2 linked regions of the Mytilus edulis genome follow. Each later gene encodes a partner of the first gene's protein in a complex. Links are inferred from orthologs where the notes say so. Each region holds a gene or a part of one and is shown on either strand. Other genes may lie near its edges.

Region 1 (7,622 bases):
CCTTCCGAAGGGATAAAAAAGAATAAAATTGATCAGTTCAAGAGATAATTAATAACTGCAATCCCGTGATTTGCCATATTTGGCCAATTTCCATAAAAAAAAAATTCATTATGGGATAAAATTTTATTTCTTTAAGTCAAACTTATATAAGATTAAAATAATTTTTTGCTCTGCATCCTTGGTAGTGTATTTGGTTCAAACTTAGCTATATTTCGTAGTATAAAATCTTTCCTTTATTTAAAATAAGCTTTTTTTTAAGGCATGCACGCAATCACCAGACATTGGAGGAACTCTCTGAACAGGGGTTTCCCTTATTTTAGACACACATTACAAACCAGGTGCTCCGCAGGGCGCAGCTTTATACGACCGCAGAGGTCGAACCCTGAACAGTTGGGGCAAGTATGGACAAAACATTCTAGCGTGATACAGCTCTGAATTTGGATTGTGATCAAATTTTTGACATTACATGGATTTTTTTTACACAAAACAAATGTCAAGATTTTACAAATTTTACAATTAAAGATTTCTTCTTCAAACTTTTTAAATCTAAAATTAAATAGTTGACACAGAATGAATGTGGTCTAATGAACTTAAAAGTTTGTTTTTGCCTTTTAGCAATTCACTATGCTGTTGAATATTAATCCTCTCAAAAAAATGTTTGAAGAAATTTTCTTTTTATTTATGAAATCTGAAATGAGAAAAATTTACCCCCCCCCCCCCCTTTTTTCACATCCCCGTTTCCCTTTTTCCAAAACTGATATCCATTCAAATTTCTAATGGAGTTTGCAACAATAACTACTCTTTTAAATACATCATAAAATATTAAAATGTAAAATAAAGTGCTTGTTATCACTGAATGGTAAAGATTGGTTGGTAGTAAAAGTGAATATACATTGTTTATTGTATAAAACAATAAAAAAAACTTCATCAGCAACATTTTATATTGGCAAATTTCCAATGAAGTTATTTACATAAAGTTATTGGCAAATAAATATAGAAAATGACATCATAGTCATGTCTGGCAAATGTCCAACATACATTATCTAAAAACATTTTAGATAAGATAAGGAAATAAGATGTAAAAAAACTGCTTGTTATCACTGAATGGTAAAGATTATTTTAATTTATCAGTTGGTAGTAAAAAGTGAATATACATTGTATATTGTATATAACAAAGATTTAAGTTGATTCTGGACAAAGAAAGATAACTCTAATTAAAAAAAAATCTTGCTATTGCACAATATTTTGCAATTACATATTTCTTGCTTACTATTCTGGACAAAGAAAGATAACTCTAATTAAAAAAAAATTTGCTATTTCACAATATTGTGCAATTAGATATTTCTTGCCATTGCGCAATACTGTGCAATTGAAAAGACTTGCTATTGCACAATACTTAATATAATAATTTTAGATCCTGATTTGGACCAACTTGAAAACTGGGCCCATAATAAAAAATCTAAGTACATTTTTGGATTCAGCATATCAAAAAACCCCAAGATTTCAATTTTTGTTAAAATCAGACTAAGTTTAATTTTGGACCCTTTGGACTTTAGTGTAGACCAATTTGAAAACAGGACCAAAAATGAAGAATCTACATACACAGTTAGATTTGGTATATCAAAGAACCCCATTTATTCAATTTTTGATGAAATCAAACAAAGTTTAATTTTGGACCCCGATTTGGACCAACTTGAAAACTGGGCCAATAATCAAGAATCAAAGTACATTTTTAGATTCAGCATATCAAAGAACCTAACTGATTCATTTTTTGTCAAAATCAAACTAAGTTTAATTTTGGACCCTTTGGACCTTAATGTAGACCAATTTGAAAACGGGACCAAAAGTTAAGAATCTACATACACAGTCATGACAGTTAGATTCGGCATATCAAAGAACCCCAATTATTCAATTTTGATGAAATCAAACAAAGTTTAATTTTGGACCCTTTGGGCCCCTTATTCTGTTGGGACCAAAACTCCCAAAATCAATACCAACCTTCCTTTTATGGTCATAAACCTTGTGTTTAAATTTCATAGATTTCTATTTACTTATACTAATGTTATGGTGCGAAAACCAAGAAAAATGCTTATTTGGGTCCCTTTTTGGCCCCTAATTCCTAAACTGTTGGGACCTAAACTCCCAAAATCAATACCAACCTTCCTTTTGTAGTCATTAACATTGTGTTTAAATTTCATTGATTTCTATTTACTTAAACTAAAGTTATTGTGCGAAAACCAAGAATAATGCTTATTTGGGCCCTTTTTTGGCCCCTAATTCCTAATCTGTTGAAACCAAAACTCCCAAAATCAATCCCAACCGTTCTTTTGTGGTCATAAACCTTGTGTCAAAATTTCATAGATTTCTATTAACTTAAACTAAAGTTATAGTGCGAAAACCAAGAAAATGCTTATTTGGGCCCTTTTTGGCCCCTAATTCCTAAAATGTTGGGACCAAAACTCCCAAAATCAATACCAACCTTCCTTTTGTTGTCATAAACCTTGTGTTTAAATTTCATAGATTTCCATTCACTTTTACTAAAGTTAGAGTGCGAAAACTAAAAGTATTCGGACGACGACGACGACGCCAACGTGATAGCAATATACGACGAAAATTTTTTCAAATTTTGCGGTCGTATAAAAATCTAGAGGATGAAACCATTAAAACAGAAGATTTTATGAAATAAAAGTATGTTATTATATTGTTCACACAATATTATTCAATTATTGGTTTTATCAGTTGCATGAAAGTGAAGTCACAAGCACCGGATTGAACCGTACATGTATTTCATGTAACTGGACTTAAAATAAATGTTCTTATCTTATCTTTTCTTTGCAATTGCTTAACCTAGTGTCATATATTGATTAAGTTTATGTAAACAAATTATAGCTGAGATTTCACATATTTTACAGTATCTTTGATTTGTTTTGTTTTGTCTCAATATTTTTAGGTACATTGTAATTCTAGCAAGTGAGTGTGTTGAGTTGTTGAGTTGTTATGTTTTATTATATTTGAAATTTAATGTGGTCGATGACACAGCATTCTTAAACTCAAAATTAACCTCTTTTAAAGTCAATGACAGCATTTCGATTTACAAATGAAATTTATAGAGTTGTCTCCCATCTGGCTGGATGTGCCGAATGGGAGACAACTCTTTTTTCTCGTGAACCCAGAAGTAAAATTCAGTGACCCATAAAATCTGTATTAGAGTTTCGTTTGTTTAATTTTGACAGTAAATCTAACAATATCCAGAGGGCTGCAATTCAGATGTAGATGTTATAATTCTTAGTCATTGTAAACTAAAGTTATTAGAATGGCCGCAGCGGCAAGTCCGATAGAGTTTGAGCTGGAAAAGACTCTTGGAGAAGGGGCTTTTGGGAAAGTATTTTTATGTTGTGACAAAACAGATAAAACACGAAAGGTACATTATTTTACATATTTTTCTTGTATTCTAATTAGATAATTTGTTTAACAGGTTGTAGTTTCAGTAGTTATATTTCAAGTTGTCTACCTACTTTCTTTTTCACACACAAATGCTCTGGGAACAAAAGTGAAAGTAGACATACTGGACATTATGATGAAATGTCCAATGTTGGCTTACATGTTATTCTCTATATGGTATTCATCTACAAAAGAACAGGAGAAGGAATTTTACCATTGACCTGTAGTGAATTTGGAGAGTGGTGACAACTGATATGATGAGGGGGGATAGGACCTTTATCGGGACTCCAGGATCGGGTGTTTTTAAGCTCAGGATTACAGGATTGACCCTTTTCGGGATCCTGGAATTCTTTTTTTCGAATTTCGGGACCTCAGGATTATGTGTTTTTAAGCCCAGGATCTCGGGACTTTGTGTTTTTAAGCCCAGGATTTCGGGATCAGGACCCCTTCTACCCCCCCTAATATGATTGTGTCAGAATAAAGTCATGGTTTTTAGGTAGTGCAGCACTCTGTATCTGTATTTCCTACTTCTGTAATATGGATGGATACGTCACAGATTCCTTTTGGCTATTGTGTGACGGGTTGGTCTGTGTGTAAATTAGTCGCGCTTGCTGAGGAGTACTGATTTAAACTCCTGGCGAGTCCTCCAGATGGTTCCAATCTACTGCAGTGCGCTCAAATATGGAGTTTTTGAACCGGTTGGTTTTACTTTTAGGAACTATGACTGCACCTTTGTTGCTACGGAATTGTTGGTCTATAATGTTCTTAGTTACAAAATTGTTATATGTTGTCGCTCTTATTTGTCGTTTGGGTCTATGGAATATTATAAGATCGTCAGGTGGAAGCGCTGGTATCTTCCCCTCAACCACTTTAAAGAAGAATATCAGTCGTTTTTTTGTCATCTTGACTGTAGCGACAGAAGCTGAAGTTCTGATAGCATTTTTGTCATACATCCTTCATCCCTTGATTTGTAGTCTTTGGTGATAAATCTAGCCCCTCTTTTTTTATGGATTCTAATTTGTCGATGTCTTTCTAGTTATATTGGTCCCAAAAAGTTGATCTGTACTCCATAATGGATCTCACGAGTGCTATATATGCTGTTTTACAGCATTCCCTAGGGCAGTGTTGTAGGTTTCTCTTAAGGAAGCCTAGCATGGAAGTGGCTTTTTTACATGCGTTTGTTTATTGTTCCTTCCATTTTAGGGTGCCACATGTGGAGTAGGATCTGCTTACCTTTCTCCATTTTGTGGTTTATCCATGGCAGTCTGTTGTTTGACTTGACTTTTTTAGATGATATGTTTTTGTTAAGGCTGGCAAATAGGTGTTTCTTAAATGTCAACCAAGCTTCCTTGACATTTTGATTGTTTTGGATATCATTCCTTATTTGTGTTGTCAGTAAATTTATATCTTTATTCAGGTCATACCGGTCGGCTCTTGCCCGCCCAGGTGTAAACTTTTCGAGGGTTAGATTTTGAGTAGTACGGTTTGATGTATGATTGCACAACCTCATTTATGTGAAACCTCTACCCTTAGTATCAAGACCTCTGACAGAAAGAATGATGTTGTGGTTCCTACATACGTAATAAAACTTCTTTTTTTACATTTCAGTATGCTATGAAAGTAATTGATTTGAGTAAGTCCCCTCAAGAGGAGAGAGAAGCTGCTGAAAGAGAGGCTAGATTGTTGTCAGATTTTAAACATGATAATATCATAGCTTATATAGATTCATTCCAAGAAAAGGGTGCTTTGTGTATAGTTACTGAATTTTGTGACGGAGGAGATTTGTCAGAATACATTGAAAAACGAAGTGGAAGGCCATTTAATGAAGATCAAATTGTAAATTGGTTCAGACAGATATGTAGTGGCTTACAGGTAAGCATTGACTTCTTCAAGGAGAATGTGTTTGAAATTTTGGTTCAAATTTTCTAGTTGCAAAAAGAAACAGTGAATCATAATAAAATAAATATAAAAAATACAAGCAGATACTCATTCTTTTGTAACTGATGGCCAGTGATGGGTTGTTGTCTCATTGCCAATCATAACAAATCTCATTATTTTTATGCCCCACCTACGATAGTAGAGGGGCATTATGTTTTCTAGTCTATGCCTCTGTTCGTTCGTCCGTTCATTCGTCCAACTTCAGGTTAAAGTTTTTGGTCAAGGTAGTTTTTGATGAAGTTAAAGTCGCAACTACTTGAAACTTAGTACACATGTTCCCTATGATATGATCTTTCTAATTTTAATTCCAAATTAAAGTTTTGACCCCAATTTCACGATCCACTGAACATGGAAAATTATAGTGCGAGTGGGGCATCCGTGTACTATGGACAAATTATTTTTGTATATAATTGCCACATTGATTGATAGTTTTTACCATACATTAATGTATATTGTGGATTCATTTATTTTTGTCTGTATCAATTTTCAAAGCCTGTAAAAAATTTGTTTTTCTTGAACATTTGAATTGGTGGTTCACCTGTACCTATGAATCCCATGGGTGTCCAACAATTTATAATGAATCCACATTATCCTATGTACCTTTTTTGTTTATTTGTACAAACAGAGATAAACAGCACTTGATCCATGATAGCTGACTTGGTACACCCATGTCATATATGCTGGGATTAAACCAGTTTTTAATACCGTCTTACCTTCTCTTTGACAATCTAAAACATTTTTTGTAATGCTTTCACCAGAAAAAATGGTCAAAATGCACATATAATGTTCAACACAAGTTTATGACAAATTTGCAACAAATCACGAAATTTTGGTGTTGTTTGTATTTCAGTATCTACATGCTAGAAATTGTTTACATAGAGATATAAAGACACAGAATGTTTTCCTGACAGGGCCAAAGAAAACTGCAAAGTTAGGCGATTTAGGATTAGCAAAGTATGTTGTTTAATGTTATATACATATGACAAGTTTATATTTTAAAAAATATATTGTGCTGTGTAATGCAATGAAAATGAAATGATGATAGCTGCATGATAATGATACATCACGAATACTCTGGAAGGTAATTAAAAACAATAAAAAAGAAATGGCATTTTCAATTCCACATACCTCAATTATAAACAAATTTAAGAAAAAAAGTCAAACATAAACTTAGTTGAGTTTGATAGGGTCAAGCACATCTATATCATTATAAACAAGGTAACAACTTAAACCAAAGAGAAGACAACATTTGATGACTTCAATGCACTTTTTGGTAAGATGATTGGTTTATTGATTCTTGGTTGATAAATGTCCAGTTGCAAATATTTCATGCATGTTCAGGAAGATTTATTGATTGCAGCAGCAATATATAGTAGATAACAACAAATGGAAGTTTTTAACGACCTTGACTGGCTATACAGCCCTTGCACGGTCGGTATAGTAGATACGCCAATATCATCCATTTATATAGAAAGACCTAATGCTAAAACTGTTACATTTTGTGAAAATCTTTATTCTATCTAATTACATACTTTGTTTCTTCACAGAGTCTTAGAAAGACCTAATGCTAAAGCTGTTACATTTTGTGGAAGTCCTTACTATATGTCACCAGAAATATTTGCTTGTAAACCTTACGATTCAAAGGTAAGGTTTTGTGTTTTAGAATGACATTAAAATCTAGTTAACATGATGCCATATTTGTGAGAAAAAAAACATTCAAAACCAGCACATGAAAAATATTAAATCTTAAACAGTAGAATAATTTTCTTCTTCCTTTAAATAATCTTTATCAAAAGCATGGTTAGTGGAAGTATAAAGAAAAATAATCGTACACAAATTACGTAAATGTCTCTTATATCAGTAATGGATCAGAAACAGATAAATAAAGAAACAGCCAACAAGTACTGCTTTACCTTGTTTAAACCACTATAGCTACCATGTCTATTTGTTTTCCAGAGTGACATTTGGGCAATGGGTGTATATATATATGAAATGTCAACATGTATTGTTTAAACTGCTATAACTGCCTAGCCTATTTGTTTTCCATAGTGACATTTGGGCAATGGGTGTAGTTATATGGGCACAGGACGTTTGCGCTCTTTTACCTGTAAAACGATAGGACATTTGCGCTTCCAATACTATGGACATTTGTGCTTTTAATTTTGATTCACCTGTATTAATTTGACCGGACATATGCGCTTTTTACCTATAGTCATCTACCTGTAATTTTAATGAGAAGTAAT
Region 2 (7,871 bases), on another chromosome or scaffold:
ATCTGTGCAGGCTTAACAGGGTATCCAAATTCATATTAAAGAGTTATAATGAATTAGTTATTGCAGATTAAGTTGTACTTTAATTCTTAAGTATCTTCTATATATTTGTAAAATGCAAATAGTACATTAGGATCCTCATTATTCATTATCCAAATTAATTTGTTATCAATATTCAAATTTTGAAAGTTTGGACATGATTTTAATATATTTTGCATCATTTCCTCTCTTTTTAATAAATGAGTGTCACATTTAAATAAAAAATGAACTTCATCCTCAACCTCACCTGAGGTGCACCTGAGACAAATTCGGTTTTGTCGAAGAGTACCCTGGTATCTACCAGATTCAATTTGCAATTTGTGAGCAGATATTCTTAATCTAGTAATACATTTCCTTTGCTCAAAATGTCGAATTATTGACAAATAATTTTCAAAACCATAGTTGCACTTGAATGTTACATAAGTTCGTAGTTTACCATCTTTATGTTTGTCTAGCTGTTTTTTCCACAATGCAGTATAGTATCCCTTAACTATCTGACCACAGTGTAGTTTAAATGTTGAGTATTTTTCAAGAATATGTTTTTCTATGCCCGACATTTTTTCCCTTAAAATATTAATTGATCCATACCAAGAGGGTTTTTTTGTTTCAAATAGCTTTTTAGAACAATTATATGCAGCTTTTAACAAGGGAAATGATGAGCCAATATTTTCTAAACGATGCCAATATCCTAAAACATGTTTGACTATTATATCATAGTGAAGTGGAAAACGGCCTAATTCAGACAAAACTGCAAAGTTTGTACTCTTTCTATTAACGCCTAAAATATATTTGCAGAATTTAATATGAAGTTTTTCACAAAGTATCCTTGAGTAAATTGTATCCACTGTTATGTTTTCTTTTTTTAAACGTGCAGTAAAGGGATTGAAATATCCCCAAATTTCACACCCATATAAAAGTATAGGCTTTATTGTATGGTCAAAAACATGAATTGCATTTTTAACAGTAGGATTATGCACTAAAAAATCATTACATAGTTTGAAGTATGCTTTTAAGGCTCTTTGGTATAAATCATTCTGAGCATATGAAAAAGAACATGATGCATTAAATTGGATACCCAAATATTTATAATTAGATACACACTCCAGCTCATCTTTGTTGAAAATAAATTTTTGAGAGATATGTCTGCCTGCCTTGTTGAATATCAACACCTTAGTTTTTTTAGTATTTATATCTAAGCACCAGTCATTGCAAAAATTATGAAGTTCATTTAATTTCTCTTGTAGTCCTTCAGCTGAGTTAGATAAAATTACAATGTCATCAGCATACATAAGGCAATGAATGAGTTTGCCATCCATCATAGTGAAGTGGAAAACGGCCCAAAATGACACAGAAATTTTAAAACAACTTATGATGACTGCCTGTTCATATGAGGGTCTTCCCAATCATACTCCCTTTATTTTATCCAGGGGAAATACACAGGTGACAGGTGTACCTCTTGTTTTAATAAAATTGTTTAACTTCCAAAATATGTTTTTCATAACAATTGACCGATTGCTGTCTCAATTCCAGTGATAAATATTTCATGCATTTTCCGTGAGGACTAGTAGAACATTTTAACAAGTAAGGAACCTTTATTACATTTGTAAGCAAGCAAGCTTAGATTTATTTTTAGAAACTTACTTTGTGATCCGACAGTGGCGGATCCAGGGGGGGGGGGGGGGGGGGGGGGGTTCCGGGGGTGCGCACCCCCCCCCCTATATTTTTGCCGATCAATGCATTTGTATCGGGACATATGTTTTGCACCCCCCCCCCCCCTTTTGCCCTGGGTGCCCTGGGTTAGCACCCCCCCTTTCGAAAATTCTGCACAAGTTGTAGACTGTTCTTAGGAACCATGATCTTATCCCTTTACATGGTGACCTCAACATCAAAATAATAAATAGCACTTTTATACTATCTAGACATTTAGTCTATGCCATTCAGTTGTGGATTCCGAAATTTTCATAAGTGGGGGCCCATTGACTGCCTAATAAGGGGCCAGCTAAGGTCATGCTTCAATGATTCCCTATATAACCAATCAAATTTTTCACAGAAAGGGGGGATAGGGCCTTAATCCGCCTCTGCTATTTTCATCACTTTTAAACAAGTAAATTTATGCATCTGCAGGTATCAAGTTAAACAACCATTTTTCATAGGTGAGTAAAAATACACCTAAACACTGAGACTATCCCTCCTTTCTACACTTCTTAAGGAAACAGCAACAAAGGTCTTGCTTCAATAATATTCAGATTAATGATTTCAGTGGACAAGAACAAGTAAGAAATAAATGTTTGTGAATGAGCGGAAATTTAGAAATTTATCTACTTGATCACGACAGAATGATATGTAATTAACACATATGGTCCAAGGACACAGTTATTGTCCTTTGGTTTTCGTTGTCTAATATAGTCCTTAGTTTATAAGTGTATAACTTGCATTTTTTTGGTTTTACACTTTCCCAATTTATTTCTTGATATTTAATGCATGAAAGATTAAGTAAGGGGATGAAATTACATGTTAAACAAGAATGTGTCCAAAGTACATGGATGCCCCACTCGCACTATCATTTTCCATGTTCAATGGACCGTGAAAATGGGTAAAAAATATAATTAGGCATTAAAATTAGAAAGATCATATCATAGGGAACATTTGTACTAAGTTTCAAGTTGATTGGACTTCAACTTCATCAAAAACTACCTTGACCAAAAACTTTAACCTGAAACTCGCACTTTCATTTTCTATGTTCAGTGGACCGTGAAATAGGGGTCAAAAGTTTAATTTGTCTTTAAAATTAGAAAGATCATATCATAAGGAACATATGTACTAAGTTTCAAGTTGATTGGACTTCAGCTTCATCAAAAACTACCTTGACCAAAAACTTTAACCTGAAGCGGGACAGACGGACGAACGAACGGACAGACGGACGGACGAACGGCCGCACAGACCAGAAAACATAATGCCCCTCTACTATCGTAGGTGGGGCATAAAAAAATGTGGGTGCTGAATCATTAAGTAGTGATTTGGTCCAGTTAAAAAATTAGAACATCTGAAGCTGTCAAAACTGAATTTAAGTCCCCCTTAACACAGAATTGTCAATATTTTGAGTTAGAGCTGTTAGAAGTTTCTATAATTTTGATATTATTTGTCCCAATGTACACATCACTGTAAAAATCTTTTTGAGAGAGCAGGTGCCATTTTTTTATTTGAATTTATTGTCTAAAAAAAATGCACTACGAAATAACTGTGTTCTTGGGCCATATGTAGTGGTTGTTTGACAGGGTTCAAATATTGAGTTTCCTGGTTTGATAAATTTTTCTTTCAGCGTAATCAGAAACTTTTTTATCACATGTTTTTTAAACTCCTCATTCATAATGTTTAGTATGTACATGAATTGTATTGCTCAATGCTCTTATGATAATTTACACAAGAAAGAATTTCATTCCTGATCACTTTCAAAACCGCTAAAACATCAACCCTTTCCCCACCATTGAAAAAAATAACAATACTGTAAAAATGGTTTGCATGGTTTTGTTTTTTTATAAAAATTTAATAAAAATATTTAAAAAACAAATCATAAAAGTCATGTAAGTTCACTAGCAGTCATTGGTCATTCACACTGATAAAAAAGTCAATAGATTTCCTTCAGCTGCATTATTTCACTGTTCTTGTAATGTTGTGAGCATTGGTAAGTGGACAGCAGAAAATGTTTAAGTTTTCTTTTCCTCTCTGTCTGTTCCTAACACATCTTTTTCAATTTCTCCCAAATCAAGTTTCTTCTCCAGTATTGCTTTCTGAAATTACATAAACTTAATTGTGTTAATTTGGGGATATTTATAATCTTCATTATTATCATGATTATTGGTCTAGTCTATTCTTTATACATTTGTGTAATGTTTATGGACCTATATAACAATAGACATTTTTAAAACCCACATCTATATACTTGTAATTCCTTAGAACTAGTTATTGAAAATTCTCTGTTTTGTGTTCCATATTTTCTCTGTATCTATCTGATGAGTTAACCCTTTTTCAACTGATTTTACATAGTTTGTTGTTTTGTTGTGCTGTTACATAACATGTACATCACTGTTTTCTCAATTGAATTGTTTCATAATATTATGTCCGGGCCTTTTAAAGCAGACTTAACTTAAAGGATATGGGTTTTTCTCATTGTTGAGGGCCATACTTTACCTATAATTGCTTTCATCCACTTTCATTTTTTGTTGGACAGTTTTCTCATTAGCAATCATACAGTTTCTCATTATTTTATTATTATTTTGCCCCCCCCCCCTTTTTTTAAACCCTGAAACCCACTTTATTAGTCCCAAATACTTAATAGTTGGCATATTCCAGCTATTATCAATAATATCATGAAACAAAACAGTATAATAATGTTAGCAGATTAGCAGTAGGATGACACCATAACAACCAGTGGCAAATATTTCATGTATTATGATGATCTTGTCTTGGATTAAAGCAGAATGGATCAAATTATTGGTACTTTTGAATCCTAATTGTTCGACTTTCTTTTTCATTGTCTCTTGAAAGAAATCATATTACAGTATGAGAATGATGTAATTTTATGCAGTATTTACAAATTAAAAGTTCTTTAGACTTTACGTTCTATGTTCATTTTACCTTCACACAAGTTTGATAAACACCAAACAATGCTTTACATGGATCATTTGTGTTCCCCTTTAAAAATTGTTCTGCAAACCATTTGTTAAAACAACTGTCATAAGCAACTTTTAGTTCTTGGCATTCTTCGCCAATGCTGTTCATTTTTTTTTAACAGGAAGTGTAAATAGGTAGTAAGGGAAATAATCCAAAACAAACATGCTGTTGACAAAACTCACTTGCAGACTGTGTTTTCAAAGAGTTTCACGAAACAAGAACTGCTTTTGTAGCAAGGTGTGGATTGTAATGCAGTCATTTGATCCTTTTCTATTCTAATTCTTAATTTGAACTTGTAATAAGTAGTAAAATAACAAAATCAAGATGGTTAATGTAAAATGTTCACAAAGGTTAAAATCTAGTACGTTATTTATTTTAGGGCACAATGCATAATTCATTTCATGGTTTGATAGAATGATAACAAACATGGCAGGAAGAATAAACAGATAATATAATAATATAGACACAAAACAAACATTAAATAAAAAAAAATCATCAATGAAGATAGCATGATTCAACCCAGGGACTTTCTATATACATATACTAATTCTTATAGGAAGTCCCTGTTCAACCAGAGACATGTAAAATTGAGAATGGAAATGGGAAATGTGTCAAAGAGACAACACACCAACCATAGAGCAGACAACAGCCGAAGGACCCCTAAACTGATCTGATTCTACATACACAAGTATTTACTTTGCTCCACTGGGACTAAAATTTGGCCCTCTGTGCGACAAGGCAGTGTTCTAACCAACTGAGCTAAAGAAGTAATTCCTTAGCTTAACTACTTACTACTGACTAAGTATCTCCTACCAATACTATAAAGGGAAGCAGTCATGTCACACTTCTCCCACCTCAAGAGTCATCATTCATACCATTATTAAGACAATAGACAATATTTTATTGGCACAAACTCTTTTACAATAAATGGTACAATGAAAATCTATTGCAATAGATTACTTCTTGCATTTAACATGTTTACAATTTGTTACGAAAGAGGAAGATAATTTCAGTGCCGTATAAGATGTATTATTAAGTTTAAGATTTATTTTATTTTTATCGCACAATGTGGTTATATTTTTTCCTGTAATTTTGAACATTTTTAATACAAAAGTCTCTCTAATACTAGAGTAACCTCTGCAGTGTAGCAGCATGTGCTGTTCATTTTCAATTTCGCCACTTTTACAGATTTCACAAATTCTTTAATCCCATAACACATACCCCATCTAAAAATCCTCTCAAACCACCATGGGTTTTTTGGGGATGCCAAATGTAATCTGAGATCATGACTTTCATTAAAAAAATATTATAAGGCAAATTTAAACAGTGTTAATATAAAGTATAACTAAGGTTTTTGAATAAATCTTTACATGATGGATGCATGCTGTAGTAATGTCAGTCTGACGTGTCACCATTCCATATCAAGATCAACAATGCGCCCACTTGAGGGCAAGCAAGCAAGGGTTTGTCTGAATAATCAATTTTGTTCTAATTCTTCAACAATTTTTCAAATAAATCTTTTCTTTCTGTTACTAAATTATTTTCAGCTCTGCCTGCTAAAACATGAAATAGTGAATAGCTCCTAAAAAGAAGTTTTTTTTTATGTGTTCAAATTATCACTTAATGTAAATGATACACATGATACATATAACTACAAAAATTGTAACTCTGAATTGCAGTCAACCTTATTTTCTCTCACCTGAAATGAATATTTATGAAGTTATATAAACTATAATTTTGGAATAGTTGCAAAAGTTTGGAAAAAACTTTTTGTAAAACTTATACTCCTTGCAAATTATTGTTGTTACCATTTCCATTCTTTAATATTTAAAAATGTTAACCTTCATATTTCACCAGGGGCTATTATTCATTTACAGGTCCCAAAGACACCAATATGGGAAGAGGTGGACCACACAAGAATTCCCAATGTTCCACAAATAGACCAAGAGATGATAAACCATTTAGAGAGGGTTTCCTTGGTTGAGTTTAATAATCAGGCTGGAATTGAGAGACTGTCTAAAGCTATAGAATCAGCTAATAAATTACATATGGTTAACACAGATGGAATTGAACCCATGGAATCTGTATTAGAAGACAGGTAAATCTTAGAATGAGCTAGAATGGGCCCAGGCCCCCCCTTTCGTGTGAAAAATTTGGTTGATTATATAGGGAATCATTGAAGCATGATTGGAGTGCCAGAATAGTTCAGAAGGAACAATTATGAGCAGAAGCTCTTAAGATCTGAGTGTCAAAAGACTAAAGAACTTAGGAAATATTACCGTATATGGTGATTCATAAAAAAAAAATTTGTATTAAACTACCGTCTTCCAAAATTATAGTCATAAATATTCACTAAAATTGGGACCTTTATATAATCATGATAATTATTGCTTTTAGTGGTTGATAATACACAATGTAATTCATATCAATTTTGTTTTTAACATTATTTTGAAATATGCTCAAGTATAAGCATAAAATTAGTAATAAGTTATCTTGTGTCTTGTAATTTTTATTACAATTTTCTTGTCAGGTATCTATTTTAGAACTAATGGTTACCATATTGGATGGGTCATCAACCATAATTCTAAAAAGATATCATAAATGTACATGTTTCTCTTGATACTTAATATGATTGACAGAGACTTTTTAAAAGTTTATGTTGAATAAACATGTATATATAAAGTCAGTATACATACTGTTTAAATAATGACATGACACTTTGCCTTTTACTGCAATTTGCACCAATTTTACATTACAAACCTAGTATGCCTCGTTGCTACATACATAATTTATTCATATGAAAAGGTAGACACTTCCTGTGTAACTTTTGACCACACATGTACAAAAATATACATGAAAATACATATTTATACATTTTCTGTGGTTTTTGTGGCTACATTTTTTATTAATTTTTAATTACACTTCTGGTATTCTTTTCCTTTACATCTGTGCCTTCTGTGGTTATTTTTTTACTGACTGTCAAATTTAATGAGATGTGATCATCACATTATGTTCAGTGTCTTTTTAACTCACTCACGGATTACCAAATATTGTGACAAGTTATATCCGTGCTGACTGGAGCTGTGAATGTCACGAAGGCACGCACCAACGGTGACCAAACATTCATCTTTTGGGACAGGCTGCTTTAAAAATTAATTGTTCTG

The links.
Region 2: glutamyl-tRNA(Gln) amidotransferase subunit A, mitochondrial-like (region 1) and glutamyl-tRNA(Gln) amidotransferase subunit C, mitochondrial-like share a complex: the UniProt entries of both Homo sapiens proteins name them as parts of the heterotrimeric GatCAB amidotransferase (AdT) complex. The link is inferred for Mytilus edulis from reciprocal best matches to the Homo sapiens genes QRSL1 and GATC.

What each region holds. Positions count from the first base shown.
Region 1 is NC_092344.1:890,387-898,008, reverse strand, and holds the start of glutamyl-tRNA(Gln) amidotransferase subunit A, mitochondrial-like, read right to left. Parts: upstream 3,164-7,622; 5' UTR 3,086-3,163; coding exon 3,062-3,085; intron 1-3,061. Other genes in the region: serine/threonine-protein kinase Nek5-like, read left to right, coding at 3,314-3,421, 5,050-5,313, 6,230-6,333, 6,927-7,023. UniProt on the Homo sapiens protein: Allows the formation of correctly charged Gln-tRNA(Gln) through the transamidation of misacylated Glu-tRNA(Gln) in the mitochondria. The reaction takes place in the presence of glutamine and ATP through an activated gamma-phospho-Glu-tRNA(Gln).
Region 2 is NC_092349.1:62,496,275-62,504,145, reverse strand, and holds the start of glutamyl-tRNA(Gln) amidotransferase subunit C, mitochondrial-like, read left to right. Parts: upstream 1-4,833; 5' UTR 4,834-4,869; coding exon 4,870-4,944; intron 4,945-6,584; coding exon 6,585-6,805; intron 6,806-7,403; exon of another isoform or gene 7,404-7,739; intron 7,740-7,871. UniProt on the Homo sapiens protein: Allows the formation of correctly charged Gln-tRNA(Gln) through the transamidation of misacylated Glu-tRNA(Gln) in the mitochondria. The reaction takes place in the presence of glutamine and ATP through an activated gamma-phospho-Glu-tRNA(Gln).